Linked DNA regions of Pelodiscus sinensis. The protein of the gene in region 4 interacts with the protein of the main gene of each other region in a biochemical or structural test. Links are inferred from orthologs where the notes say so. Each region holds a gene or a part of one and is shown on either strand. Other genes may lie near its edges.

What was found.
Region 1: the proteins of PTPN6 (region 4) and LCP2 form a complex in vitro, tested with the Homo sapiens proteins (2 studies listed by BioGRID). The link is inferred for Pelodiscus sinensis from reciprocal best matches to the Homo sapiens genes PTPN6 and LCP2.
Region 2: of the proteins of PTPN6 (region 4) and ROS1, one has a biochemical effect on the other in vitro, tested with the Homo sapiens proteins (2 studies listed by BioGRID and IntAct). The link is inferred for Pelodiscus sinensis from reciprocal best matches to the Homo sapiens genes PTPN6 and ROS1.
Region 3: the proteins of PTPN6 (region 4) and KIT form a complex in vitro, tested with the Homo sapiens proteins (2 studies listed by BioGRID). The link is inferred for Pelodiscus sinensis from reciprocal best matches to the Homo sapiens genes PTPN6 and KIT.

The regions. Positions count from the first base shown.
Region 1 is NC_134727.1:6,090,957-6,097,946, forward strand, and holds the start of LCP2 (lymphocyte cytosolic protein 2), read left to right. Parts: upstream 1-3,985; 5' UTR 3,986-4,237; coding exon 4,238-4,315; intron 4,316-6,990. UniProt on the Homo sapiens protein: Adapter protein primarily involved in signaling pathways within T-cells, as well as other immune cells such as platelets, mast cells, and natural killer (NK) cells.
Region 2 is NC_134713.1:83,887,388-83,895,198, forward strand, and holds the start of ROS1 (proto-oncogene tyrosine-protein kinase ROS), read right to left. Parts: upstream 3,006-7,811; 5' UTR 2,798-3,005; coding exon 2,675-2,797; intron 1-2,674. UniProt on the Homo sapiens protein: Receptor tyrosine kinase (RTK) that plays a role in epithelial cell differentiation and regionalization of the proximal epididymal epithelium. NELL2 is an endogenous ligand for ROS1.
Region 3 is NC_134715.1:85,355,147-85,362,363, forward strand, and holds the start of KIT (mast/stem cell growth factor receptor Kit), read right to left. Parts: upstream 3,006-7,217; 5' UTR 2,833-3,005; coding exon 2,760-2,832; intron 1-2,759. UniProt on the Homo sapiens protein: Tyrosine-protein kinase that acts as a cell-surface receptor for the cytokine KITLG/SCF and plays an essential role in the regulation of cell survival and proliferation, hematopoiesis, stem cell maintenance, gametogenesis, mast cell development, migration and function, and in melanogenesis.
Region 4 is NC_134711.1:138,130,716-138,137,977, reverse strand, and holds the start of PTPN6 (tyrosine-protein phosphatase non-receptor type 6), read left to right. Parts: upstream 1-4,247; 5' UTR 4,248-4,402; intron 4,403-4,603; 5' UTR 4,604-4,656; coding exon 4,657-4,670; intron 4,671-7,262. Other genes in the region: C1H12orf57 (protein C10), read left to right, coding at 697-751, 933-1,109, 1,414-1,562. UniProt on the Homo sapiens protein: Tyrosine phosphatase enzyme that plays important roles in controlling immune signaling pathways and fundamental physiological processes such as hematopoiesis.

The DNA.
Region 1 (6,990 bases), on a different chromosome or scaffold from region 4:
AAGGCTGCTCCGCAGAGTCATCCACCTTGCCGATGCTGACACGGTCATCGAGAGGTTTGGCGCCCTGGGCTTCCCCAACTGCAGGGGGGCTGTTGATGGGACACACATCCCCATCCATGCCCCGGAACACCAGGCCTCCCTCTACATCAGCCAGAAGGGATACATTTCCGTTATCCTGCAGGCTGTCTCTGACCACCTGGGCCACTTTATGGACACTGATGTGGGCTGGTCCGGCAGAGCACATGATGCGTGGGTCTACCTCAACTCCTCTGTGTGCCAGAGGCCACACACCGGAACTTTCTTCCCTGACCACCACATCAGGGTCGGAGATGTGGACATGCCTGTCTGCCTGGTGGGGGATGTGGCCTATTCCCTACAGTCCTGGCTTATGAAGCCCTACATGGGACACCTGAACCCTTCCCGACAGGCATTTAATGCCAGGCTCAGCAGGGCCCGTATCATAGTGGAGGGTGCCTTTGGCCAGCTGAAGGCCCATTTTAGATGCCTCCTCACCCTCCTGGACCTCTCAGAGTGGAATATTCTGCATGTGGTGGCAGCGTGCTGTGTGCTGCATAATTTGTGCAAGGGAAAGGGGGAGGCTTTCCTTCCAGCCTGGATGGCAGAGGCCGATCACTTGGCCAGCCTGTACATGCAGCCCCACATGGCTGCCATCTGGGAGGCCCATCAGGAGGCTGTCTGTATCTGGGAGGCCCTGCGGGAGAGCTTCTACCTGAATGAGCACTAAAAGACTCCCTGGTGTGCCCCACTGTGGGCTTGAGCCTCATTCCTCTCTCATGTCCTTCCATGGACCCGTCCTTAACCCACCTTCCTGCTGTACAGTAAAAGACACATGTATTCAAGAAAACAAACTCTCTTTATTGAACAAAACTGGGGTGGGGGGCATGAAACTCAGGTGAGACTGGGCAAAGAAGGTGGGAGAGGAGAAGCGAGAAGGGGAGGGGGAAATGTGGGAGGAGGGAGTTGGAAGGGGGAGACAAGGGGAGGAAGGGGAACTGCCCCCTGTGGCCCTGGCATATGCCTGCCGCAGCGCCTTAATTTTCATCCAGACCCGATCCTGGGTTTGGATGTGGCCTTTGGTGGCCAGGCTGGCAGCCATCCGGCTGTAGACGGCCGTGTTCCTCCATCTAGTGCAGAGATCATGGAGGTTGGAGGCATCCCCTCAAACCTCAGTCAGGTCCATGATCTCCGCACTGGACCAGGAAGGCGCCCACCTTTTCAGGCCCCTGGCAGGCTCCTGAGAGCTGGCAGACTGGTCCTGAGGAGTGGTGAAGAGATGGCTGCCAGTTGCTTGCTGGCTCATGTTTGGGCCACTGGGTCAGGGGCAGCAAATACTGGCTCTGGGCTGGCAGGCCAGGAGCTAGCACAGGCACTGTGGCCAGACTCTACCCCTTTAAGGGCTCCAGGGAGAAGGGGAGGAGAGGAGTTTTCCTGGTTGGGGCCAGAGTGGCCAGCAGCGACTCTGGGAAGGGCTGGAAGCCCCCTATTTTGAAATAGCCCCTTTTCCGTGTCCACACAGCGCTTATTTCGAAATAGCAATTTTGAAATTGACGCTATTCCTAGTAGAATGAGGTTTACCAAGTTCAAAATAAGCCCTCCGCTATTTTGAATTAATTTCAAAATAGCAGTTGGCTCGTGTAGACGGTAATACAGTTATTTCGAAATAACGGCTGGGATACCCTCTGGGAATTAGCTTTTTGATGCTGGAGTGCCCCCTTCTGGCTGGTGTCTCCCCATGTCTCTGCACTCTGGGGCCCCCTTCTGGCCAGTGTCTCCCTGTGTCTCTGCACTTTGAGGTCCTCCCCCCGGGAACCTCAACCCCCTATGCCCTCCTTCCCTCAGTGACTCACTGCCAGTCTTCATCTAGCCCCTTACCTCAGGGGCAAGCTGCAGTCTGATAATTGGCAAGGGGGGTGTGGACCTGCTGCCTTTGCCTGCCCTTTTCTGCTTACCTGCTTCTCTGCAGCCCTAGTACACTCAGGCCTTGCTACAGGCTCTGCCACCTGGAAGCTTGCCTGGCCAGAGCTCCCCACCTTGCTTGCCTTTCCCCAGCCCTGCACTAACTACAGCCCTAGTATCTTCAGGCCTTGTCTCAGGCCCTGTGGCTTGCGAGTGAGGTTCGGCCAGAGCTCCCCAGCTCTGCCTGCCTCTTCCCAGCCCTGCTCTGTCTCAGGAAGCCCCCAGCTTCCCTTGCAGCCAGGTCCCTCCTTCTCCCCAGCTGGAGCAAGAGTGTCTCTGTGTCCTCCCTCCAGGAGCCCTTATTTATACAGCCCCAGCTGGGCCCGAATTGGCTGCCATATGCTTCCGCTGCTTGCTCCACAGCTCCAGCCCTCTTCCAGGGCTGGGTTTTAGCCCTTAAATAACCAGTGCAGGCAGATGCCCCCTCACAACCTCCATAACTAAATTTGAGTTAAGGTTGCCAGATGGTCTCCCAAAAAATACCGGACAAGTGGTATTTTTTGGTCGAGCAAAAAAAAAAAAAAAAAAAAAGAGGAACAAGGGATAATAAGCCCTCCCTCCTCCCGTTCTGGGGCACCCAGAGAGGCAATCACAACCCTGCCTCCTAGCTGGGACTTCCAGGCTGGGAGGCGGGGCCACGATTGGCGCTGGAAGCCTGTGATTGCACAGAAGCCTTGTGGAGGACGGGGAGGGGCTGGGACTCCCAGCCATTCCCCCCGCCCCTGTCAGGCTTCTGTGCAATCACAGGCTCCCAGCGCCAATCGTGGCCCCGCCTTCTAGCCAACCCCCTGCCCATGCCAGGTTTCCGTCCAGTGCACATCCGGAAAATTCAGAGTATACCGGACGTTGCACATGCCCGGTATTCCCTGATGTTGTTTACTGGACAAAGAGTGCAAATACTGGACTATCCGGTAGAATACCAGACACCTGGCAACCCTAAGTTGAGTTCCTAGAGTTCCTACACACACAGTAATGGAAAACCTTTGCACTGTCCTCCAACTGTCCCCAGGAGAGACATCCTGTGCAAACCTTATGCCATATACGGGTCATAAATACAGAGCTGAGGACAGAAATGCCAGTCCCCTGGAAAAGGGAGTAGGGGCTCAACACAGGCATCTCCAGGAATGGGCAGGGTAGGGCCTTGGGTGGGAGGTGCAGACTGGTAGTTAGTCTCCCTCCATCGGCCCTTTTTGCGCTGCCCAGACTGCATGGTTTGGGATGCCGGCAGCCATTTAAAAGGGCCTGGAGCATTGCAATGGCAGGGAGCCTCAGAGGCCTTTTTAAATCACCAGCCCCCCCAGGGCAACTGCTCCCTTTGTCTGTCCCCCCCCAGCAAGCTGGAGTAAGCATATGAGAATGCCACACTGCTAATTATATGGAGATATACCTATGTCATAGAGCTAGAAGAGACCTTGGGAGGTCATCAAATTGAGTCCAGTGCTCAGCCCTCATGGCAGGACCAAGTGCCATCCCTGACAGACTTGCCCCAGACCCTGAAATGGCCCCCTCAGGGATTGACCTCACAACCCTGGGTTTAGCAGGTCAATGCTCAAACCTCTGAGCTATCCCTCCCCCAATTGCTAAAATTAGACCTGAGAATCAGAACAAGGATTCTGATGTGTGCATTGTAATATGTTCATATGATATACGTGTACGGGAGAGAGGGAATCAATGTGACATTTGAGGCCTTGAGTTGTGCTAAAGAAGGTTCCCTTAACTAGGCATTTTCTTGGTTTTCAAGGGATGGCACAAACTGAATCCAACCCCCACAGCCTTTTCTGGTGGTGGGAATATAGATGCACATGTGTACATTCCCACATAATTCTCCACAGCCAATGTACCAGTCTACTGGTATGGACATCTCATGAAAAAAACCCAACACGCTCCCCAGATTAAAGCATGCAAACTAGAGCTCATAAGGATTACAGTTATATTCAGTAGGCAGCATACTTCAAATGTGTTGCTGTGCTTCCTTGTTTACTTATTTAGATTCAGATAAAGGAAGTGGTGAGACTGAATCGCTGACAAGTTTTCTGAGAAGAGACCATTTTGTACTTAGAGGAAGCAGTTGCTCTCTTGGATATTGTTGCACCATAACTCAGAAATAAAAAGCAAGACGGTTTAACAAAAGCCTGGGGCATTTATTAGGCAAGTGGATTGTTGAATTTACTGGAGGTAGCCACAGGCTGGAAATCTATGGCTCTCTCATTAATACTCCTGGCATGAAAATTCTGTAGCTGATTAGGAAAGAAGAACAGAAATGGATTTACAAAACCTTCCCTATCGCTCAATGGTGATTGCTTGGAGCCCAGATGACCTGGCAGACTACTTCAAGAAAGTAAGTTGTGTTGTGTTTTGTCCTAGTATGGAGGAGTAGCAAGGTGCTTTAACACTTCTGTGCTCTTGCTCCCTCTTCCCCCCACAAAAAACTTTTTACCCTAAGAGCCGAATTTGCTACATACATCATATAAAATCATCTTTTTTGAATAATCATGGCAGATGCACTTCAGAAAGTCATTATACCTGCCCTGGTTTAATGAAGTCCTTAATGAATCCTGAAAAATGTATTCTAAATTAATAGCAAGAGAAATCAATTGTTTCTTGGGAAAAAAAAATGCTATAATCTTTGGTACCAATGCCTTGCTATGTTACATTCAGTTTGGATCCGTAAAAGTTAAGAGTTAAGGAAGCTAAACATAGTAAACCTATTTTTTAAGGTAGGAAAGTTTTATATGCAGATCTCATAAGGCCTCTCCAATGAAATTATTCCTATGACTTTCATAATTAAAGACCCTCACTAATGAAGATGCACACATGAACTCTGCTCTGGACTGAATTGCTTTCCTAATTAGCATTACAAAGGCTTGTTATGTGACAGGGCTTGGTTTAAAATCGATAGTGTTTAGCAGAGGTGACATTCTCAATCTACGGGTCGCTCCAGACGTTCCAATCTTTTGAACAAGGATGTCAGAGCAAAAGAGCTGCTGAACCTGGTTAGGTGGACACACAAAAGAGTTTGTTGGCATCTGGACTGGGGTTTTTAGAAGGGAGTTGGGTGCCCAGATTCAAGGAGAGTTGATCTGAGTCATGGACAGCCGTCCTTTTGAAGTGAGGTGATGAACTAAGACTCCCATGCTAGCTGGAAAATGAGACCTGGAAGCGATTTTGTCTGGTTGAGCTCACACAAACAATGCAGAACACTTCCTTGTGATGTTGTAGTTGGGTGAGGAGGACAGGAACTGTGCCTAAGGAAAATGATTCCTTTGTAGCATAGGGGGAGAAATGAGAAACATTCTTTCCTCCAAAATAAATAGAATACATAGAATATTATCCCTTCCCGAGCTCAATGCAGCTGCTTTTATTTGTAGATTGCCTGTGTTGATATTTTGTCTTTGAAATTGAAAGCCTTTACCAATAATAATATCCATAGCGATAATCATAATTCTTTGGAGAGGCAGGTTTCAATAAAAAGAGATTCTGCTACCCACTGCCTCTTCCTGCCTCAGGATCCCCACTGACCTTCCTCCACATCTCAGAAAGATCCCTCATCTCATTTCCTCATCTGTTCTGTTCTGCTGAGGTGGTTGGGCTTCTGACACTTCCCCCCTTCTCTATCTATAGCTTTTCCTCAAATGCACTAGCCTGGATATTGCTGGTTCTTTTAACTTTCACTTTGCAGAGCAGAGGATTTTGCACGCCGAGGTGTGGAGGGGCATTTAAAATGGCGTATTGGGGTGCATTTGTAGGAGCATTGCCAGCAGAGCTAGAGAAGTGATTATTCCCCTTTATTCCACACTGGTGAAGCCACATCTGGAGTATTGTGTTCAGTTCTGGGCCCCACTACAGAAAGGATGTGGATGCATTGGAGAGAGTCCAGTGGAGGCAACAAAAGGGATTCTGGGGCTGGAGCACATGACCTATGAGGAGAGGCTGAGGGATTTGGGTTTATTTAATCTACAGAAAAGAAGAATGGGGGGAATTTGATACAGGGCTGGCCTTATCATGAGGCAAACTGAGGCGGCCGCCTCAGGTTCCAGACTGTGTGTGTGTGGGGAGGGCGGTGCCACTAGGACTCAGAGTGTAGAAGGGGGTGTCACTAGGACCCAGAGTGTAGAAAATTGTCTCTGCTGCCGATGCATATGTAGATAGCAGAGCAGTCCCATGAGAGAAGTAGAACAGGAAGAAGGCAGAATTGAGACCTTTCAAAGTTTTGGCCCACGCGAGGGGACAAGGAGGTGTTATTTGAGCTCCCCGTCTCAAGTGCCAAAATGTTGTGGGCCAGCCCTGATTTGATAGCAGCCTTCAACTACCTGAAGGGAGTGGGTCCAAAGAGGCTGGAGAGAGGCTGTTCTCAGTGGTGACAGATGACAGAACAACGAGCAACAGTGTCAAGTTGCAGTGGGGGAGGTCTAGGTTGGATCTTAGGAAGAACTATTTCCCTAGGAAGATGGTGAAATACTGGAATAGGCTACCTACTGAGGTGGTGGAATCTCCATCCCTAGAGGTTTTTAAGTTCTGGTTTGACAAAGCCCTGGCTAGGATGATTGAGTTGGGATTGGTCTTACTTTGGGCAGGGGGCTGGACTCAATGACCTCCTGAGGTCTCTTGCAACCCTGGGATTCTATGATTCTAAAAGAATAGGCAAAACTCAGTGCTGATTTGCTCCCTGGTATCTCACTGATGCTAGGAAAACTGCATAGGCTATAGGTAAATGTTGAGTTTGGTCCATTTTTACAGCATCTTAAATATATTCAGTTGTACATTCATTTTCCATCATTTCCCCCAGATTTTAATAGTCATCTACACTTACTTGTGTTACCATGCTGACTATAGTGCATGTTCACAACAAATTCCAAAACCTTCATTACAGTGCAGAAAGGTCAATCCAAAAGGTTTGTGAAGACTTTCGCACCATTTCAGCAACCCAGTTTCAAGTGGATATGATCAACCGGGGACAGTTTATTATTTGGTATTGAAACCATGCAAAATTCATGGTTTCAATCGCTTTCACTG
Region 2 (7,811 bases), on a different chromosome or scaffold from region 4:
TTATGTAGCACTTTAAAGACTAACAAGATGGTTTATTAGGCGGGGCAGACCATAATAAACCATCCTGTTAATCTTTAAAGTGCTACATGACTGGTTTTTTTGTTTTGTTTTACCAAGATCAGACTAACACAGCTATTTCTCGTTAAATACCTTCACTCTTAACCTTTTTTATGCCTTATTTTCAGTCTGAATTGGCCTATCTTCAACTTTTAGCTACTGGGTCTTGCTATACCGTTGTCTGCTAAACTAAGGATTCCACTATCAAATTCCTATTCCCTGTGTCAATATTTATAGACTGTGATTAACCTTCTCTTTGCTAAGCTACATAGATTGAGCTCCTATAAAGCACATTTTCCAGTCCTTTAATCATTCCTATGGTTCTTCTCTGAGCCCTCTCCAATTTATTCAGATTTACTGAGCCAATAATAAAGGCATAAAAAACAAACCTGGGGCACAAATGGCACAAGTCCAACAGAGTATGACTTTCAAAGTGCACATTTCAGATTTTGTTTCTTTAAATTAAATGCTTTTCCTCTGGCTTCCTCCTGAAATGGCTGTATCTGGCCATGTGAAAACTGATTCTCTTCTGGTATGAAAAGTGCTTCAGATCTATGGTTCCTATTCCCAGAGCACCATGGTGGAAGTGTACAAGATCAGGCAACCTTTTAGAAGTGTAATTGATTGTGGAATGGCTCAAACCAGCCTTGAGTAGCTCAATGTGGGGTCATGGGCTGTGATCTTACAAACACTTATGACATGTGCTGACCCCTAAGCATGGTGCTACTCTCATAAGAAAAGTTGAACATGCATTAGAATTTGCAGAATAAAAGGTATATAGTGTGGCAATGGTTAAGAACCTCTGCCTGATGCAAATCAGTGCCACAGCAGGTGTGGTCACACAGGTTACCTTTGGACTGAGGGGAAATGGAAGCGTTGAACTGCTTCGAGGATGGCTTTTTCTCATTTCGGTCTCTGTCATAATATTTCTAAGGGTATGTCTACAGTAGCTCATTAATTCGAGCTAGGTAGGCAAATGAGGCGACTGGAGTTGCCAATGAAGCCCGGGATTGAAATATTCCACGAGGAGTAACAGTTAATTCAAACTAAGGACTTAGTTCGAATTAACGTTTCACTGCCGCGTGTAGACACGCAGCAGTGAGTTCGGGTTAGTGAAATTTCAAAATGGTGACCGGACTGTAACATGCAAATAAAGCCCGGGATATTTAAATCCTGGGCTTCATTTACAACTCTGGTCGCCTAATTTGCCTACCTAGCTAGAATTAACGAGCTAGTGTAGACATACCCAAAGTTACATATTGAATATGGATGTCAAATGTTTGGCTTTTGAAGTTACTATGAAGAGTGAATCATAGGCACCAACTCTGTGGGTGCTCTGGGGCTGGACAGCCTCAGGGAAAAATTAATGGGTGCATAGCACCGACCAGCGCAAGCTCCTCTCCTGCCCTCCTCTCCCCCTTGCACCTCTTGCACACTAGCAGCCCTGTGCTCATCCACTCCTCCCTCTCACTGCTTCCTGATGGTCAAGCTCCAGGAGGGAGGGGAAGGAGCAGGTACTGGGCATGCTTGGAGGAGGAGGCAGAGTGGAGGTGGAGCAGGGTTGGGAAGAAGCAGGGTAAGGGTTTGGGGGAATGGAAGGAGTGTGGGCAGGGCCTGAAGTGGGGAATCAAGTACCCCCTGGCAGACAGAGAAATCAGAGCCTATGAATCAAAGAATCCTTGTTAGGGATACTACTACATCTTAAGCCTGTTGCAAGAAAGATGAGTAATCCTTTCACTGCTTCCAGGGTTCTTGTATGCATCTGGAACAGGTTTTAAAGATTGGACATTTTAATAAGACTGTGTACCTGGTACATCCATCTTGTACATTTCATGTCCATAATCAGTATGTTTTTCAGTATTACTGACAGAGCTAATTAGCCAGAAAACACACACAGTCACTTCTACAGAGCACAAGAACATGGTCTTCTAGACAAGATCTATTGACATACTACAAGCCAAATAACAATAAAATTTGAAGCATAATTATTGATCAGTTTTCAGTAAGCAACTGGGCTTATCATCTTTATGCATCAACAGAAGGAAAACAAATAAATTCCACTTCACTACCCAAAGGAACACTATGAAAACATAAGATTAAAGATACAACAACCCACTCTCCTACTTAAAGAGACACCAACAATTTGAAAGTTTTAGAGTCCCCTGCCAATTGCTGTGATGTTTACAATTACATTTTCCAATTTTTAAAATGTTTTATTCTTCCATGTTGCTGTGCGAAAGACCCATCCACTTAGAAGGTCTACCGGCTAGCTAATTTTACAGTAAAAGGTGTACATTAGACAATCAATAAAAAAAAAACTAAAATAAGTAGCTGTTATTTTTTCCTGTAGTCTTCTCAAGTTATAATAATCTGATGTCATTGTAACAAAAGAGAAATAAAATTCAAATGGGGTATGATTAACTGGGGTTTCCCTTTAATAAGTACAATATCCTTCTCCACTGCAAACTCAATTTTTAAAACATCATTTTAGACCACCGTTTTGTCCACATAAGTCTTTACACACAATTTCAAAAAAAGCAGTTTTCATTAGAAATAGTTAACTGTGGTAACAACCATCATATAACTAAAAGTTAAGAATAGTTTTTACAAAACTTACCAGGCCACTTGTACATAAATTCTGACAGTTAATCAAGAAAGTACAATGTACTGTAGAAATCCATAGGCAGTAAACAGAAAGAAGAGTGAGTAGCTTAGGCTTCCACAAATTAATGTTCCTCATAACTTGAGCTACTTCTTTTCCTCAGGCAGTCTTCTACTTTTCTTGTTTCAAGTCTTACAGATTCCTTGGATTCTAGATGCCAGATAGAAAACTGCATTTCAATGTTAGTAAAATCCTTCTTTATAATCCATCCATTCTATGACTTTGGGGCTTCCTGGATTACTTGAAATTGTGCAACATCTATTCAATAGTTTCTTATTAAACCACTCAGACAAAGGTGCCGACCAAAAGGTCGCATGACTCCTTATCACTGAAGTGAAAAGAAAAACTACGTGAAGTGATCTTATCAATGTATTATGATGAAAGCGGAAGAACATAAGAGAGAGAAAGAGGAGCCCTGTTTATATTTTCTCTTATGAGAAAAACCATTTTTAAGCACTGTTTTTAAAAATGGCTTGAGGTAACACAGCTGTGCTCACTGGGGTTGTGAAGAATGACTTAAAACATCTTTAACAAATAATCCACACTGGCCAGCACGACCATGATAGCTAAGACTATTTTCAATAACTGTTTCCAAATATGATACATGATGTCACATATAAACCCAAAACTCATCTGTGTTGAAAAGTTTGGTTGGGTTGTGCATGTAATGACAATAGATTGTCTACTGATCCAATTAAATTTTAAAAGTATTGATGTTGTAATTATCACTGTTTTTAAAATATCTATATTTGGTAGCAAAAGGAAGCCTCACCAAACATTTTGCTAGGTACTTTGCAAACACATACAAAGGGCTTGTCTATCCGCCGAGTTTCACCAGTTTAACTTAAGCTGTGATTATGTACTGTTGCAAAAGGCTGAATGGACACTTATTTCCATTAGAAAGTGCCTTATTTTGGTCTCTCTTAAATATATTAGGACATATATAAACTAAACTGAAATATTTAATTTAACCCAGATAAATATAGGCTTAGCCACACAGGGATTTATCCAGAATTAACTAAACCAGTTGAATTAAACTGACACAAGCCTATATGTGGACAAGCCCAAAGACACAAACCTTTCCTGAGTAGCTTGCTTTAAAACATTCTAAGGGAGATCAACAGACATTAAAATGTAGAAAGTTCTATTTTCTAAAATGACCTCCAGTAACTGTAGGGTATAAAACTCCATATGCAATTCATTATCCCTGCAATATCATCTGTGTAGACATTAATTAATTTGAAAATAATCAAGCACAATCTGTTAGTCAAGCACCTAAATTGGTGTAATTGTATTTGTAACTTTGTGTCCACGACACCAGAGAAGACTGGTGATGCTCAGACCAAAATCAGGGCCAAAATATTCAATTTAAAAAGAAACCAAGTATCTGAATGTGCCAAGTGAAGCCCTTTGTGGAACACAGCTCACTCCTTCCCTTCCGCAGCTCCTCCCAGCCTGACCCTGGAGCAGCTCTGCAATCCTCTCGTGCCGCTTCAAAGTCCTCAGCATTGGTCAAGCTGTTGATTGTTACGTTTGCCATATACACACCAAGAAGTTAGATATAAAGTATAAAATACTCTGCCGGGGGCTTGAAATACAGCCCTGCTTTACTGTTTGACTGCAGAAGCCACATATGCAAAAACCCCAAAATAGAGAGACTCAAAGCTTCCTAGAGAAAAGCAAGTTCCCTGACCAAGCTCTTTGCTGCTCTTTGCAGACTGACTGCTCCTGGTAGGACCACATCACACACACTTCTCTGCAGAGCCCCCTGTCTTGCATCTAGAGTGATAGTTTATAATCTACTACAGGTTGCATCTCCCAAATCCGGGATTCTCTCATCCGGCAACATCCGTGGTCCAGCATGACCACAGTTGTTCCTGGATGAGAGCTCCCTGGGGCAGGAGGGCCAGCAGCTGGGAGCCCAGTATAGCCCCAGGAGTTTTCTAGTAGTGGGGCTGCAGCAGCCTAGGCAGAGTGTAATCAGGATTGTCTGCTGCCCAGCAGAAGGGCCGGGACCACAGCAGCCCAGGAGGGGAAGCCTGGCCGGGCCATGTCAGCCTGGGAGGTGGCAGTGGTGATAGCAGCAGTGTGATGGGGGTTGCCTGCCACCTGGCAGCAGGGCCAGGACTGTGGCTGCAGCAGCCCGAGAGGGGATGCTGGCCAGGTGCCACTCCAAGCGGGACTGGGGCTGCAGCAACCCAAGGCAACATGCTGTTCAGCAGTGCGGCTGTAGCTGCCTGGTGAGCTAGCAGCGGAGCTGGAGCTGGGGCTGGCCTGCAGACAGCCCAGCCTGACTAAAGGAGCTGGCAGCAGGGAGGGGCAGCAGGCTGAGGGGCTGGTGTCAGGGGACCTCCCATTGTCTGGTAAACTCCTCATCCGGGATCAGTCTGGTTCTAAGGGTGCCAGATAAGAGAGATCCAACCTGTATATATTTGAGAAAGTTTGTGTCTGTTTGTTCATGTGCCTGTGAAGAACTCCTCCTAAATGGTAATAGTGAGAACCAGCAAATTTGGTATGCAGCTTCCTCTTATCATAACTTAAAGGAATATAAGGGTTTGGTTGTGCCAGGAATGGGATTGCTTCTCATAAAACCACACAGAAAAGAAACAGAATCACCAGGCAGGAGAAAAGGATTGGCTGCACCACCCCCTACCTCCCTCTGGAACTGCCCCAGCTCTGAACCTCCCACCTCCTAGGCACCTATCAGCTGGGCAGGGGGCCTAAAGCTCACCCCCACCATTTGAATGGGAACATTGCAGGCTGTTCCTCTTTGTCAGCTAGCAAGGGGAAAGTGCAGTTTGCTGCATTCCTCACTCTGGCTGAGGAATGCAGGGGGCAGATGAACTTGGACCTGCCCCAGCTGAGGGACATGCACACCTTCCATGGCTGTTCCTGCTACAGCTGCAGCAGCCATGGAGAGGTGCTTCTCACCTGGCTCCAAGCTGCTGCAGTGAGAGAGGACTGGGGTAGTCCTCTGTCCCAGGGGTAACCCCTCAACCCTAGCCCGACCCCAGAGCAATGATTTAAATGTAGTACAGGCAGTCCCCGAGTTACGCGGATCCGACTTAAGTCGGATCCGCACTTACGAACGGGGATCTCTCGCCCCGGAGCTCGCAGGCAGCGGGACCGCCCAGAGCGCAGCGGTCTCACCACCTCGACCTCTGGGGCGAGAAAAGCTGCTCCGGGTGCCCCTGGTCTGCTGGGGACCATCTCCAGAGACCAGGGACACCTGGAGCAAAGCCGAGGAGGCGGAGGGGTCCCACGCCTCTGAGGCTTTGCTCTGGCAAAGCAGGGGAGGCGCGGGACTCTGCCGCCGCTGCGGCTTTGCTCCCAGTGTCCCTAGTCTGCTGGAGACGGTCCCCAGCAGACCAGAGGCACCGGAAGCAAAGCGGCAGCAGCAGCGGCGGTGGAGTCCCGCGCCTCTGAGGCTTTGCCAGAGCAAAGCCTCAGAGGCGCGGCACCCCACCGCCGCTGCCGCTTTGCTCTCGGTGCCTCTGGTCTGCTGGGGACCGTCTCCAGTAGACCAGGGACACCTGGAGCAAAGCCGGGAGGCGGAGGGTCCCGCGCCTCTGAGGCTTTGCCAGAGCAAAGCCTCAGAGGCGCGGCACCCCGCCGCCGCTGCGGCTTTGCTCCCCGTGTCCCTGGTCTGCTGGGGGGGGCGCAGCTAGTGCCCCCCCCCAGCAGACCAGGGAGACGTGGAGCAGAGCCCCGGGCCTGTGGTAGAGCAGGTGGGGCGCTGCCGGTTGGTCCCGCAGCACCATTCCTTGGCGCTACTGGACCAACCCGGCAGCACCCCAGCTGCTCTGCCCCAGGAGTCCCCAAGTCAGCCGCTGCTGAAACTGACCAGTGGCTGACTACAGGAAGCCCCTGCCCCTTGGCTTCCTGGAATCAGCCGCTGATCAGTTTGAGCAGCAGCTGACTTGGGGATGCCTGGGGTTCGTAAGTTGAATCTGTATGTAAGTCAGAACTGGCGTCCAGATTCAGCCGCTGTTGAAACTGATCAGTTTCAGCAGCGGCTGAATCTGGACACCAGTTCCGACTTACATACAGATTCAACTTAAGAACAAACCTACAGTCCCTATCTTGTACGTAACCCGGGGACTGCCTGTAGGTACGTTTTCATTTCATTTTCAAAAAAACAAAAATGAGTTAAGGACTCAAGCAACACTGGGTACATCTTGTAGTTTTAATATAGTTTTCAATATACCGCAGTGCTGAGGTACCTTTCATGAGGTACCTCAAGCAGGGCCATGGACAAAGTGAGGGGAGGCCCAATGCAAGCAGAGTCATGGGTCCTGCCAGTAATCGGCAAGCACATAGAACTCCTCTGGCCCCAGGGCTGCGTTGGGAACACAAACTCCTCTGGGGCTTTGGCAGGGGCCCAGAACCTGCCCGTACAAAAGCAGTCAAATTCTATACACACCCCTGCCCTCAGGATATAGTCTACAGGTGGCCAGTTGCGTCTAAGTCCATAAAAAAAGATAAGACCAGAATATATTTAGATTTGCTTATCTGAGGTGATTCTTATATACTAATAAATTATTAATAATTTGTATTGTGGTGGCACCTAGGAGTCCCGGTCCCAGTCCTGTGCCCTATGATATTAGGTCAGGGGTGGGCAAAAGTCTCTCAGCAGGCTGGAACCAGCCCGCAAGGCACTTTCCGGCCCTGCCCCCTAGCTTGTTGCCTCGGAACAGGAGAGGGGCATGAGCCCTTCAAACTGCTTCTGTTTAAAGGGCTCCTGTCTTCCCCACGCCTTGTCTAGCAACTGTAGGGGAGGCACAAGCCCTTTAAATAGAAACAGCTGAAAGGGCTCTCAGTCTGGCAATGCTCTAGCGCCATGGGGAGCCCAGGGGAACAGGAGAGACCTTTAAACAGAAACAGCTCAAAGGGAACCTGCGTCTCAGGCAATGTGCTAGAGGCATGGGGAGCTGCAAGCCCTTTCAGCTGTTTCTCTTTAAAGGACTCTTGTGTTCCCCAAGTAGCTAGGGTTGCCTGCCAGGTGCTGGAAAGACCTTTAAATAAAAGTACTTAAAAGGGCTTGCAGCTCCCTCAGCCTCTAATGAGTTGTTAGGAAGCCAGAGATGTGAGC
Region 3 (7,217 bases), on a different chromosome or scaffold from region 4:
GCATAGCAGCCTGCACAAGTGCAGCGACAGCACTGTAAGTGTAGACTAGGGATATGATTGTGTACATTAACCAATGAGCCTAGGCTCATCAGTTAACCTTCAGGGTTACACATAAGCTCCCTCCCGTGCTGCTGCCATGCCCTCCGCCCCCCCACACACACTGCTGCCTCTGATACAAAGACAGCAACATTGATTGGTAGGGGGAGCAGGCAGGAGCCAGCGCTCGCAGGGAGCCAACACTGACAGCCAGAGAGATGCCTACCTGCCTTCCACATTGCTGCCTCTGATACAGAGGCAGCAGTGTAGGGGGCAGGCAGGAGTCAGCATGCATAGGGAGCTGATTTTTAAGCTGGCTCCCATGAAACTGTCTCTCCCGCCCCACATGTGTTATTGTGTAGCCACTGAACATTTCAGAAGTTACATGTTTACCAAAACACACACACATATTTTAACATTCCTAGTGTAGACAAGCCCTCAGCTACTACCCCTCTCTTGGTGTCAGGCACCTATGCCATTTTTTTAAGTAGCCTGAGGGTAAAAGGGCAGCAAGAGGACAACCCTCTCATAATTTTTAGCCCAGTGGTTAGAGTACTCACTTGGGATATGGCAGACTCATGGTTCAAGTTTTCCAGGGGAAGCAGTCTGCTACTAAGTGCCCTAACCACTGAGCTATAGGAAAATCTCTCTTACTCGGTCCTGCTGAAGCTTTTCCATTGTGGCTAAATAACTGTAAAATTCAGTGAACGGCATGAGAGAGACTGCCACTCCTAGTGCACTATCCATGTCTACAGAGTCAGTCTGTCTGTCTCTCTATCTCATTCCATTGTGGACAAATTAAAGAATCGCTGGGCCAGAGAGGGTTATTTGCAAGACCACTTCTTTAAAAAATTGTTAGAACTGAGTTCCATCACCACTCATGTTTTGTCACCATCCACTGCTTTCCTCCACCATTAGCTTTTTTATATTGTCAGGTTTCCAGTGCTCATACAAATGGTGAACTGTATTCATCCCTGGTGCAACTCCTATAAACCATTAGTTATCCTAGGGATGAATTTGTGTCTCTGAGAATATTTGATAGCTTCTCTCCTACATGTTTTTGATTAAATATTTTGATGGGGAAATCTCATCTCTGTCAGCCTGACATATTGCAGTTACTGCACTGACAGATGACATCGGTAATTTGACTTGGGTTTGACACTGTCTGACCTTCTATACAATTTAAATCCAGATGATGGCAACTGCTCAGGTTTCACACATATGCTAGCTGAGACTGATTTTGCAACCTTTTCGGAATTGACTACATTCCTTCCGCTACAAATTACCCCCGTGTACTTCAGCTGGACTACCTGCAGAATAGGGTAAAATTTAGCATGAATGAAGGTGACAGGAATTGCTAAATGCCAAGTCGGAGTGACTTGTCCAAATAAAAGGGCAATATATTAGCATGACAATGGCATGATAAACATGCATTGGTGCTGCCCCATTGGTTCAATTACCATCAATTCAGTTCTTTAGGACAGTCCTGTATGGCATGGGTGAAAGGACCTAAAAATCCACAAGCCCGGTACAAGAACAACCTCCTTCAAAAGAGGGTTTGGTAGGTTTTCTTACTGGGAAAGAACAGATGAAAAACTTGCCTCGCACAAGACTAACAAAACGCAAAACCACTTTGACTAGGAGATGCGCTACTAAATTCAGCCATGAAACGGTTCATTCCGGAGAGCAGTTAAATGGGAGAAAAAAAGATGGAAATCAGCGACCGCACGAAAAGGTCTGCTATACTTTACTTACAACTTCGCCACTGGGGCTACACCGGACTGCGGCTCTTGGAAGCATTTCTCGTTACTATTTCGGTTAACAGCAATCTAACCACAGGGACGTTTTGTACTGATGGAGAGATAGTTTTACTGACAAAACAGTAATCAGATGCAAAACCCCTCTCCCCGGCAGATAACAGTTCTCGGAACAAATCTGGATTAACTACCGCCCCTTTTCCCTGACTATGGGCAGCACCTCTACCGGGGCGCGCAGCCAGACCTCGAATGGGGAATATGAACAAAAATGCGGATTCCACTGGCTCAACAGCAATGATTATTTTGACTCCCTGGTCAGTCCCCCAATGAGACACTTCGGTAGCTCTCAGGCTACCCTGCTGCCCCTCCAAAACCAATGCAACTCTGCCAGCAGAAAGCACTGCTCACGCGTCTCCAAAACTCGCGCTCAAGCGACTCATTGGCGGGCCAAACTAAGCAAAGCTTCGCAAAGTTCCTGCAACTGAAACGCAGGGCAGCAGCACTCACCGCAGCGCAACAAAGCCAAAGCCCCAGCCCCCGGGAGCGGGAGGGACTTCGGAATAGCGGGAGGAACCTGCCCCTCCGTGCGACCCGCTGTTCCGACTGTTTGCAGCCAGAGTTTTCACACTAAACACAGCTGGGGTGTCTTTACCGGGGGGGGGGGGGGATAGGCAAGGCCGCCACTCTCCTCTGCCTCGGCAGAGAGGCGCACAGGTGCTGGAAGGAGGGAGCCGGCTTGACGTGTTTTCCGCCGGCTACTGGCTGTTCAGTTCGGCCCAGGCGGAGGTGCATTAGGAGTTGCCTTTATCCCCAAACTCCTCCACACCGGCCGCGCTGCCAGCCCCGCGCAGGGAGCGGAGAAGCCGGTGCGTGCTGCCCCTTCCCTCCCCGGTTCCTGGATGCACCGTCCCCCCCGCGCACGAAGCAGGCGGAGGAGCGCGGAGCCCCCGCGCGGCACAGCCCCACCTGTTGGAAAGCCCAGCAGCAGCGGCAGCAGCACGGCGCCCGCCAGCTCCCAGGCCAGGCAGGACCCTTCCATGCTGCTCCTCGCGCCCGGCGCTGCCACGAGCCTCCGGAGCGCTCAGACACCGCGGCAGCGGCAGCCTCGGCAGTGGTGGAGGGAGCGCAGCGCCACCGCCAACCTGCTCCTCCTCCAGCCACGCCCCCCCGGCCCGGGCCGCTGCTCGCTCGGGCGTCTCGGCTGGGCTCCCCCAGTCAGGCTCATCCAGTTCCCGCCGGGCCCCTCCCTTTGAGCCACTGCCCGAGGGGGCTGGGGGGGGGGGGGGCGGGTCGGACACTCGGTGTCGCGTGACGCCGGGTGTCAGCCAGAGGGGCCTCACACGTTATCAGGACGAGCTCTCGGACGCTGCGGAGCGCGGGGAGCAGCCCGGGAGCCCGCCTAAAGCCAGCGGCGGGGCGCTGCGCTGCACTGAGAAGCGACCAGCCGGCAGCTTGGTCACAGCTTCCAGCCCCGACACTCGCTAAACGGAGGGCCACTGGGATATGGTTATGGAATCGGCATCAATCCTGCGTGTAGCCTCTGTGTAGGTAATGGGGCTTCTCCACACCAGGGTTAGCCTGCACCCTGCAGGGAGCGCTGGGCAGGACTGGGCTCTGGAGGGGGAACTCATTCCTTAACAAGCAGAGCTACAGCTAAACAAAGCCTCTTTCCCTTCAGAAAGAACCTGAGCCATACAATGGGATCAAATATCTCTACAGCCGTGAAAAAAAGGGGAGGGGAGAATCCTTGCCCAAAGGTATAGACACACGTACACACACACGCTGGCGAACAGATCATGTGTATACATAAACAGACACGTTTAACAGCACTGAAATTCCACTCAGCACCAGATAACCCAGACAACATCCTACTCATTTCTATAAGGCACTCCCATGCGGAAATAACTTTTTTATGTTGTTAGACATCCAGAGAGAGAAAAGACACAATTGGGCCGTGTGAAGGAAAACTGTCAAAAAGCTAAAGAGAATTGAAACCCCTAAAATATTGTTTATTATGCATCCGCATGTATTGAGGGAGACAGGTTAAGTTTTTAGAATCAATGTGAGCTTACTTTCAAGTGTGTCAGTAAAGATCAGAAGAGTTATTGAAAATAAGTTATTCATTTTCTTTTCTTTTTTTCCTTCTAAAACTGTCATTCCTTCTAACCTCCCATCTGGGCAGGACAGTCTTTAGATCAAAGTCTTGTCTTTGTCTTGTATGTATAAAATGGCTGTCTCAATTTCTCTACTTTCATCTTAGAACACTGGTCTCTATTGGTAGATAGCTGGAAACTGAATAATATTATATTTAAAAAATCAAATAGCATTCTTTAAAATCACATTTTTCACCAGGAGTCAACCTCAAAACTAATTTTGGAGGGCATTTTAATAGCAAAATATTTTCAATTTATGTCTATTCACTCCAACTGAGGAAGAGGGTGTCTCAGACTCCTTATATATCTAATCTATAAAATGCATATTTAAATTCATTTGTCCCTATAATCTTAAAGCGATATTGCCATTTTAGTCCTTAAAGAGTTTTCCAGCATCAGATGTCAAGTGCATAGATACAGTCTTTACTGGATCTATAAAAACTATATCCTATTCTTAAAGATATGTCTTGTGTTATTACATACATGATACTCTATTATAAAAATTGTCTTTTCAGTGGACTCTTAAGCAGAAAATAAAGGTTCTAAACTTCTTGATAAAACCTTTGTGAGTTTATAGTCTGCAATCTATATTAAGAAAATAGATTAGTTCTTACAAACTGCAGGGTACTGTAACTTTCCCCTTTGTTACCTCTGAGCATGGAAATCCTCTTCAAGGTTGTAGTAAGACATTTCAGTTAGTAACCCAGTGCAGTGAATTTGAAAATATTTGCAAAAAAGTTATTCTTCCCCAAGGTTTTTTCATTCCTGAGGATACTGTGTATAAAGACCAATATAGCTTAGCATAACAAGAAAATATAGAGAAACAACCCATCTTATTTACAGCTCAGTCTTGTGAACAGTGATTGTGGAACTCTGCCTTCAAAAAGCATTCTGCCTCTTCTAGGTGTATTTTTGTATCATTTCCTCCGTGACTGATTGGGGCCTTCAAACACTAGCCCTGCTACTTCCTTCCATTCTGTGTCAGGTCTGAGTAAAGAATTAACTTCTTGCTGGAGATCAAGTCAGACCTTTACATCCTGTTCTGGATACAGGTTCTGTTACAGGTCATGAAAAATCCTACTGGGATTTCTTCCAGACCAAATGTTTTGCATGTCTACAAATCTAAATAAGTAATTACAAAGATGATTAAATCTATGTGGGTATGTCTACACTACGGCGCTAATTCAAACTTAGTTCGAACTAAGCTAATTCGAACTAATGCATCCAGACTAAAAAACTAGTTCGAATTAGCGTTTTGCTAATTCGAACTAGCATGTCCACACAGAGTGGACCCTGAACCGGGGTTAAGGATGGCCGGAAGCAGTGCCGGCAGGGCATCAGATGAGGACTTAGAGCGTGGAGCTGCTGTCTCAGGCGAGCCGAGGGCTGTGATTAAAGGGACCCGACCCCCACCTCGGACAGACAGTTCTCAGGAGTGCCCCGCTTGCAAAGCAGTCCGGGCTTGGATTGCCCGGAGTACCCACACTGGGCACATCACACCACTTGGCCATCAGACCGGCTGCACTTGCCGCAGGCTGCCATCTGGGGAAAGAGGGCAATTGGGGGGCTGCAGGAGAGGTTCCACCCCCAGAAGCCCACAGAGCCAGCCCAGTCCTCCCCATTGGGGGCTCGTACCCCATTCCTCCCTTATCTCCTTCCACTTATTCCTCCCTAGCCCCCCTTCCTGATGTACAAAATAAAGGACAATTGTGTTCAAAAATAGAATCTTTCTTTATTGAACAAACCTGGGGGAGACTGGGAAAAGGAGGTGGGAGAGGGGAGGAGAGAGGGTGGGAGAGGGGAGGGCAACTACAATGATGAGGGGTTTGGAACAGGTCTCATATGAAGAGAGGCTAAAGAGACTGGGACTTTTCAGCTTAGAAAAGAGGAGATGGAGGGGGGATATGATAGAGGTCTATAAAAGCATGAGTGGGGTGGAGAGGGTGCATACAGAAAAGTTCTTCATTAGTTCCCATAATAGAAGGACTAGGGGACACCAAATGAAATGAATGGGTAGCAGGCTTCAAACCTATAACAGAAAGTTGTTCTTCACAAAGCAAATAGTCAACCTGTGGAACTCCTTGCTGCAGGAGGCTGTGAAGGATAGAACTAGAACAGAGTTTAAAGAGAAGTTAGATCAAGTCATGGAGGTTGGGTCCATGGAGTGGTATTAGCCAGGGGGTAGGAGTGGTGTTCCTGCCCGAAGTTTGTGGAAGGCTGGAGATGGATGGCACGAGACAAATGGCTTGGTCACTGTCTTTGGTCCATCCCCTCCAGGATCCCTAGGGTTGGCTGCTGTCAGCAGACAGGCTACTGGGCTAGATGGACCTTTGATTTGACCCAGTACGGCCATTCTAAGCTCAAGGCTCAGGGTCGGGGGGTCTCAGTGGACCACCTTGATTTGCATGCAAACCTGCTCCTGGGTGGCCAGGCTGGCAGCTCTCCTGCCCTAGACGGCCGCTTTCCTGTGCCTAGTGCGGAGGTCATGGACGAGGTCCACGATGTCTACACTGGACCAGGCGGGTGCCCGACTCTTGCGGTCCTGGGGAAGGTCCCGGGAGCCGCCAGCCTGGTCCCGGGAAGAGGGGGAGGCCTGGGGGACATCGGGTGGCTGGCTCAAGCCGTGCCAAGTGCAGGGACTGCTGGCTGGGTGCTGGCAGGCTTGCACCTGGCACGGGCACCGTAGCCAGCCCGTGCCCCTTTAAGGGTTCCGGGGCTCGGAGTGGGGCAATAGAGTTTCCCCGGTATTGGCCAGAGTGGCCACCAGGGAAAGCTGGGGAGGGCTAACCTCCCACTAGTTCAAATTAAGGGGCTACACACCCCTTAATTCGAACTAGGCTTAGTCCTCGTACAATGAGGTTTACCTAGTTCGAACTAAGCGCTCCGCTAGTTCGAATTAAGTTTGAACTAGCGGAGCGCTAGTGTAGCACCTATCAAAGTTAATTCGAATTAACGTTCGTTAGTTCGAATTAACTTTGTAGTGTAGACATACCCAGGGAGACTAAGTCAACTCCTCCGGTATTTTCTTTAAATTACATTTTTGGGAGAGGACATTTCTATCTGCATATAAACTTCAATAAAATAATAAAACTTTTGATTGATCTGACGTACATCACAAGAATAAGGGTACGTCTACACTACAGCGCTAATTCGAACTAAGCTAATTCGAACTAACGCGTCTAGAACTAAAAACTAGTTCGAATTAGCATTTTGCTAATTCGAACTAGCATGTCCACATTAAGTGGACCCTGAACAGGGCTTAAGGATGGCC
Region 4 (7,262 bases):
CAGTGCTAGCCAGTACAGCGCGTAAACAAACGCCGCAGGCAGGGCACTGCTGTGCACTCGCCGGGCGCCTCTATCACTCTCCTGCCTAGTGCAAGCTGCCCTGAGAGCACGTGCCCCGCCCCGCGCCGGGCTTTTTTCCACCGGCCCCGCCGCCACTGTCGTAAGGGGGCGTGGCCTTTGCGTTTTTACACCAATAGGAAATCACCTCATCTGCATAGCGCTAATTTGTTCAATACACGCTCCTTTGCGGGGCTCACAGCACGTGGCATGTGGTTTTGGGGGCCGGTGCTTTGGGGGGGGGGCTGTGCAGAGTCCGCAGGAGCTCTACACGCCCTTGCTTGGAAGTCACCCTGAGCGAGCGCGCACTGGCAGCCGCTGGGGGCCCGCGCTCGGGCTCCTCTCCGCAGTGATTTCAGCTCTTTTAGTATTTGTCTAGCAGGCTCTCTGCGCTGCCAGGGAGCCTCACTCCGCGGTGAATGTCAGACTGGGGCCGCTCGCGCTCTGCTGGGTGTGGGCGGCGGGGAGCGATGGGGGCTCCCGGGCTGCACCCCCAGCGCGAGATGCCTCCCGCCCACAGGCCCGGCAGCGCAGCCGCGCGGCCCCTGTCCCGCCCCGTCTGCTGCGGCCCCTCCCGGCCCCCTGACGTCAGCGGCGCCGGCTCGCGCCCGCGGTCCCGGCTGGCGCCTGCAGCGCCTCATGGCTGCCCCGGCCCCCGCCGCGCCGGGCTCGCTGAGCGCCGAGCAGGCCAAAGGTGAGGGCGGGTAGGAGCCCCCGCGCGCCCCGACTTGCGCCCCCCCCCCCGCAAATCGCGACTTGCACTGCAGAGCGGGGAAGGCGGGTCCCGGCCCAGCGGCCCCGCGCCCCATTGCCCTCGCAGCGCGCTGCACCCGGGGCGGGCTGGGCGGGGCTCACTGCTCTGCCTGTCTCCCCAGTGGCGCTGGCCGAGGTCATCAAGGCCTTCGGCTCCCCGGAGAACGCGCAGCGCATGGAGGAGGCCCGGGACAACGCCTGCAACGACATGGGCAAGATGCTGCAGTTCCTGCTGCCCGTGGCCACCCAGATCCAGCAGGACGTGATCAAAGCCTACGGCTTCAGCAGCGATGGGGAAGGTGGGTTCGCCGGGCCGGGGCAGAGCCGGGCTGCGGTGGTTTCCCTTTCCGGCCTTTGTGTCGGAGGCTCCCGCCGAGGGCAGGCAGCACAAAGCGGTGTGGGCCCGGGGAAAGGGCAGTGCAAGCAGCACTTTAGTGCAGCCGTTGGACCCACATGTGCAGTATTCTCCACCTGCAGCTCCTTTGTCTGGCCACAGGATGGTATCCTTGGAAAACCTACCGGGGGGGGGGGGGGTACTGGGGAATACTGTCACCAGCTAGATCTCTTCCCAGCAGTTTTCTTCCTTCCCCTTCTTTCTCTTAGGTGTCCTGAAATTTGCCCGACTGATAAAATCTTATGAGTCCCAGGATCCTGAGATTGCAAACATGTCTGGGAAGCTAAAAGCCATGTTCCTGCCTCCAATGACACTGCCCCCACACGGGGCTGGGACAGGGGGTGTGCCTGTCTCCTGAAAACCGGGACCCTCTGCTGGCCTTCTTGGGCCAAGTCATGCCACACTACATGCCTGTGAGAGTTTTTGACAAGTGGGATTCCAGGACTGCTCTCCACCACTCATCAGTGTGCTACAGTTTGCCAGAAGAGCCCCCTACTTCTTGGAAACTCTGCAGCAATTGGTTTCTTTGTGCATCTTTGTTTTTTGAGCTTGTGAATAAAAGCTGCTTTGAAAATGTCCCCATGTGTTTCTCAGTGAGTGTGTACCCAGTCTGGATCTTAGCGCTGCTTCCTGGGAAAGAGAGCACGCCCCACTGAATGTAAGGTAGAAGGGAGCTCTGGTTACCTCTCCCCTCCCCCTTATTGGTAATCCCCTAATCTGTGTAGTTCTGCCTTCAGGAGATAAGTACCTTGCATGAGCTAAATTTAAGGAAATCAAGATGTGTGGTATGGGGAATCGCAATCTTAGGCCTGGAAGCAGAAGGCTTGAAACCAATTGACACTTTCTAAACCTCCAACCTTGTAAATCCTACAGGGAGTGCTGTAGGCCAGGACATAAGGCAGCAGAGTGAAGGGGGCTCAGGACTGGAACATCAGGCATTTGGGGTGGGGCTCCGTGTATCTCTCAACCTGTCAAGGCTCCATTGTTCAATGCAATGGCTGGGTCTAGTTTAGAAAAGTAGATTGTGTTTAAAAATATTGCAGCAGGCACTTCTTCACTAACACATTTTTACACAGTAGTTTAGGCGTGTTTAACATAGTTAGAGGGATCTTAGGGTTTACCACCGCAAGCTTACGTGTTTTAAAAGGTGTCAAACTCTGTCTTCTTAAAAGATAACATTTAACAATGCATTGTTCAAAACATATTTGCTAAGGTATTTGTAAATACAATTTAGTCTTCTAGTCCAGGCAAGGTTAGACAAACAATATGTGACAAAGACCCCAAATAAGGGGAACAATAACATATTGATGCAGGAAATTTAAGAAGTTTCACAATTATTGAGCATGAAGGTCTTTATAATTCAGGGTTGGTCTACAGTAGAAAATAAGATTGATCTAGCTATGTTGCTCAGGGATGTAACGCCCTTAACTGACTTGGTTAAGCTAACCCAAGTCCCTGTGCAGGCAGCACTAGATTGATGGAAGAATTCTTCCATCACCCTACGTAATGCCTCTCAGGGAGGTGGATTTTCTGCAGTAATGACAGAATCCCCCCATTGCTGGTAAGGGTCTACCCCAGTAAGGGGCAACCTGGGCTGGTGAGTGGGCCGCATGAGAGATCCTCCTTCATCTCAGTGGGTCACAAAATTGTCCTAACCAAGACAGTCTCCCAGGATAGAGTTGTTTTGCAAACTGCACTAATGTAACTAGAATTTGTGGGGTGTGCCGATTGAACCACAGCAGTGCTTTGGCTGGATGCAGAGAGCGTGCACAGCTCTGTCAGTGTTGTCATGTGCAGTCAGCAGACGCCTCATGTCATGTGCCCTTGCTTTTCATGCGTGTCACTTTAGTAATACGAGTAGGGAAAAAGTGTGGACGAAAACCAGCAGAATCTCAATCCTGTGTGTGGGCAACAGTAAACAAAATGGCTCATGGGCCATGCACAGAATTCCAAAGGGCCTCAAGTTGTTCACAACTGGTCTGCACTGACCCAGGACAATAGCATTTTAAATGCAGACCTCCAGGTTGTCTTCAGGGGCTGATAAAAGGGACCTGTGGTAGGAGTAATCTGTAATATTTTATGTGTAGACATAGCTTCAACTTCATGATTCTGCATTTCTGGTGTAATCACTTTTTAAAAATAAAAGGGGGCACTAAATTTGTAGGGGATGTAGGTATTCTGGGATTTGAGTGACACTGGCAGGGCTGTTTGGGGAGCTGGATTAGCAGGGGGCTGCAGGGCAGGGCTGAGGGGCACTGGCAGGGCTGTGAGGGGAGCCCAGGGCTGGAATAGCAGGGACTGCAGGGCAGGGCTGAGGGGCACTGGCAGGGCTGTGAGGGGAACCCGGGGCTGCAGGGCAGGGCTGAGGGGCACTGGCAGGGCTGTGAGGGGAGCCCAGGACTGGAATAGCAGGGGGCTGCAGGGCAGGACTGAGGGGCACTGGCAGGGCTGTGAGGGGAGCCCAGGGCTGGAATAGCAGGGGGCTGCAGGGCAGGGCTGAGGGGCACTGGCAGGGCTGTGAGGGGAGCCCAGGACTGGAATAGCAGGGGGCTGCAGGGCAGGACTGAGAGGCACTGGCAGGGCTGTGAGGGGAGCCCAGGACTGGAATAGCAGGGGGCTGCAGGGCAGGACTGAGGGGCACTGGCGGGGCTGTGAGGGAAGCCCAGGGCTGGAATAGCAGGGGGCTGCAGGGCAGGGCTGAGGGGCACTGGCAGGGCTGTGAGGGGAGCCCGTGGCTGGAATAGCAGGGGGCTGCAGGGCAGGGCTGAGGGGCACTAGCAAGGCTGTGTGCGGAGCCTAGGATTGGAAGGGCCAGGAGCTGTGGCTCAGGTGGCTATTTCCAGATGACAGAGGAGTTTAATTTGTTTTTATCCTCTGTGATACTGTTAGTTCTCCAGGGAGGCTGAAGGTTTGGTGGGGAGGAGGCAGGGAGAACAGGCAGTGCCTACCTTGCTCACCTGCTCTCCTGCCCATGTGTCTCCTCCCCCACCCGCCTATTTATTTATTAACTACCGCTCAGGGAGAGATTTGCAAGTGGTGATCTGGGAAGCCCTTTGTACTGGGCCTGGTTGCCTCAGCTCAGGCTTCCTCATCTCTCTGCTCCAGCTCACCCTCAACTATTGTGACCATGTGAGGGAGGAAGTATTAGGGCTGGAGAGTAAGCGGCATTCAGAGCCTTACTGAATGGATTAGATGCAGGTGAGTCGGGAATCTTACTAGCCGTGATCTAGGTCCAGTTACCTTTTTGTTCCTGGCTCTATGAAATTAGCTATGCTTTCCCTCTGGGTGCTACATCCACCCCCATGCCTGAGTCTGTAATGAGCTTCAGTCCTGGGCCCCTCTCTCAGGAAATTCTTCCTGTTTCCTTGGTATCAGCAGCATTGTTTGTCTCCTTTTCAGTAGGGTCCTTGGGCTGAGGGTTCTCAGCGAGGATCCCTGTGACCAGGGGCCTGATGCCATCCTGTGGGTGAGTGTATTTCTCCAAGGGGTTTCTTGGCTGTAGGGTTTGTGATGGGAGAAAGAGCTGGGAAGTGAGAGGCAGATGTGGGGAAAGCAGCAATGGAGAGGGTGGGCAAGGGGGCTATAGGAGAGATGGGGGTCAGTACTGCTCACCCTAGCAAAAGTAAAGCTCGTTTGTTCCAAGGCACAGATGGGAAGGGACTGGCCCTTGTCCTAAAGCAAATCAAAGACAAAGCCATAATTTTGCCAGAGGCCAGGCCTCTCCCCACTTTAATTCACTGGCCCTGCTCCTCCTCTGGAAATGGAGCCCAGGAGTTTGGGCACTCGCCAGACATATTTGCTGTGCAGACTTCAGCAGACAGCACTGCAGGAAAGCACCTTCAGAAAGCTTCCTCTACAGCCAAGAGGGCTGGCAGCTGAATTGTTTAGAAACAGCTGCTGAAATTCTGTAATCTGCAGAAGGGTGTGGGTTCCACAGTGTCACGAATCATGGGGTCCCCTCCACATGGCTCCCAGGCTGACTTCTAAACCAGGATCAGTACCGCAAGAAATTAAAGTGCTGTAGAACTGTCAGAAGGGAATGAGGAGCCTTAATGAAGTCTCCTCTCCCTAGCTGCTCCCATGCCCATGGTACAGGAACACTGAGGCATAGCTCCAGTGCTGTCTTCCTGGCTGTCTTCCACTAATGTCCTTTCTCATCTGGAGGAAGGTCCAGGCAGAGTATGAACATAGGTAGCAATTGCCAGATCTGGTCTGTCCAGTTCAGTCTCCTGTCTCTGACAGTGGCCACAGTCAGCTGTGTTGGATGAAGGTGCAGAAAACCCCTTAGTTTATTGTTCAATAATGTGTTTCCACGAGGGGTTTCTTTCTTATCCATCTTGGTTCCTGGGTTATGATCAGAAGCAGGAGACATTCTATCCTTCTGTTTTCTCTGATCAAAAGTAAGTGTGAGGGTTCTGGTCATTCATATAACGTTCAGTCCTTTTATGAATCCTGCTATGCTCATCAAGCGGGGAACGAGGGGGCAGTTGCCCCCGGGCGCAATGCTAGAGGGTGCCAATTTAGTCCCCCTCTGTTCCCCCTGTCGTCCCTCAGCTCTCCTGCTCCTCCTCTGCCCACCGCCATTGGTTGGAGCCTCCTCTCCACCCCTAGCCTCACCTTCCTCCATGTCTGCCGATGGGTTAGTGTGTCTAGGGGCCTGGCCCCAGACGAGGGCACAGGGGAAAACACGGTACAAGCTCCCCCCCCGCCCAGGGTCGGGCTCAGTTGTGCACCTGATTTGGGGCCCCGCCGGGCAGAGGGGTGTGTGGGGTAATTTTGCTTTTGCCCCCGGGCACACAGCACCCTCACTCATGGGGTCAGAGAGACAAGGTGAGTGAGGTAATATGTGTTACTGGACTAGTTTCTGTTGGAGATAGAAGCAAACTTTTGAGCTGCTTTGCCAGAAGAGGAAACCTAAATGAAGTGCCAATTAGCATTTTCTCATGCTTCATTTGTGTAATCTCTTCCCATCCATTTTTGCACAAGAGGTTTTTGCACAAAAACATGCAGTGTGGACGGGGAGAGGCATAAGGATCTTGTGCAAAAAGGGTGTTTTGTGCAAAAAGGAAACGTCCACGCTGCATGTTTTTGCGCAAAAACCTCTTGCACAAAAACGGATTGGAAGAGATTACACAAATGAAGCACAAGAAAATGCTAATCAGCGCTTAATTTACATTGCCTCTTCTGGCAAAGTGCATAGTGTAGACGTAGCCCCAGTGTATACAGTGCTAGATCCACAGGAGAATTCTCCTGTCAACCCAGCCACTGCTTTTCTGGGAGATGGAATACGTATGCTGAGAAGAGAACTACAACCCGCTAACATAGGTAGCGTCTTTCTTCACTAAAGTGCTACAGTGGCAAAGTGACATGACTCAGAATTAAAGACTAGACAAGACCTAGAGAGAGAGATTTACTACACTGACAGAAAAACCCCTTCTGCCACTGTAGAATTTTCCCGGTGAGTGCTCCCATGGGGTTGGGCCTGTTGACGGAAGTGGCCACTGCAGCGGTGCTGGCAGTGTAGACATGGACTTTTTTTCATCGATGTAGATTAGCGGTTCCCAACCTTTTCCAGAGGGGGACCCATTCCGACAATTCAGGAAGACTTGGTGACCCAGGGCAATTCACAAAAAGTCTCCTGGGGAGACACCTGGTGACCCTTTTGAAATGTAATGGTGACCCATAGGTTGGGAAACCCTGATGTAGATAATAGGCAATTTGGGGCAGAGGCTGTACCTGTGTCTGATATGAACGTGTTGCCTAGCGCACTGCACTCCCAGTCTCTAGTCGCTGCCATACTGCTGCTGTGCCAGGTCTCTTTCTTGTCTCCTCTTACCTGTTACTTCTCTGAGCAGTCCCAGTCTTTTCAGACGTGAGAGAGTAGCTAGAGCAGAGCGCAGCATTGCAAGTGAGGGCAATCCCACTGATTGGCGTGACAGCACTGGGATAGGACCAGTATTTTTCTCCAGTCCATTGGGCTGTATCTTATAGCTTTGCTTCATGCTTTGATGGCTTCTGCCCACTAAGCAGAGGTTTTCATTGAGCCTCCGCAAGGACA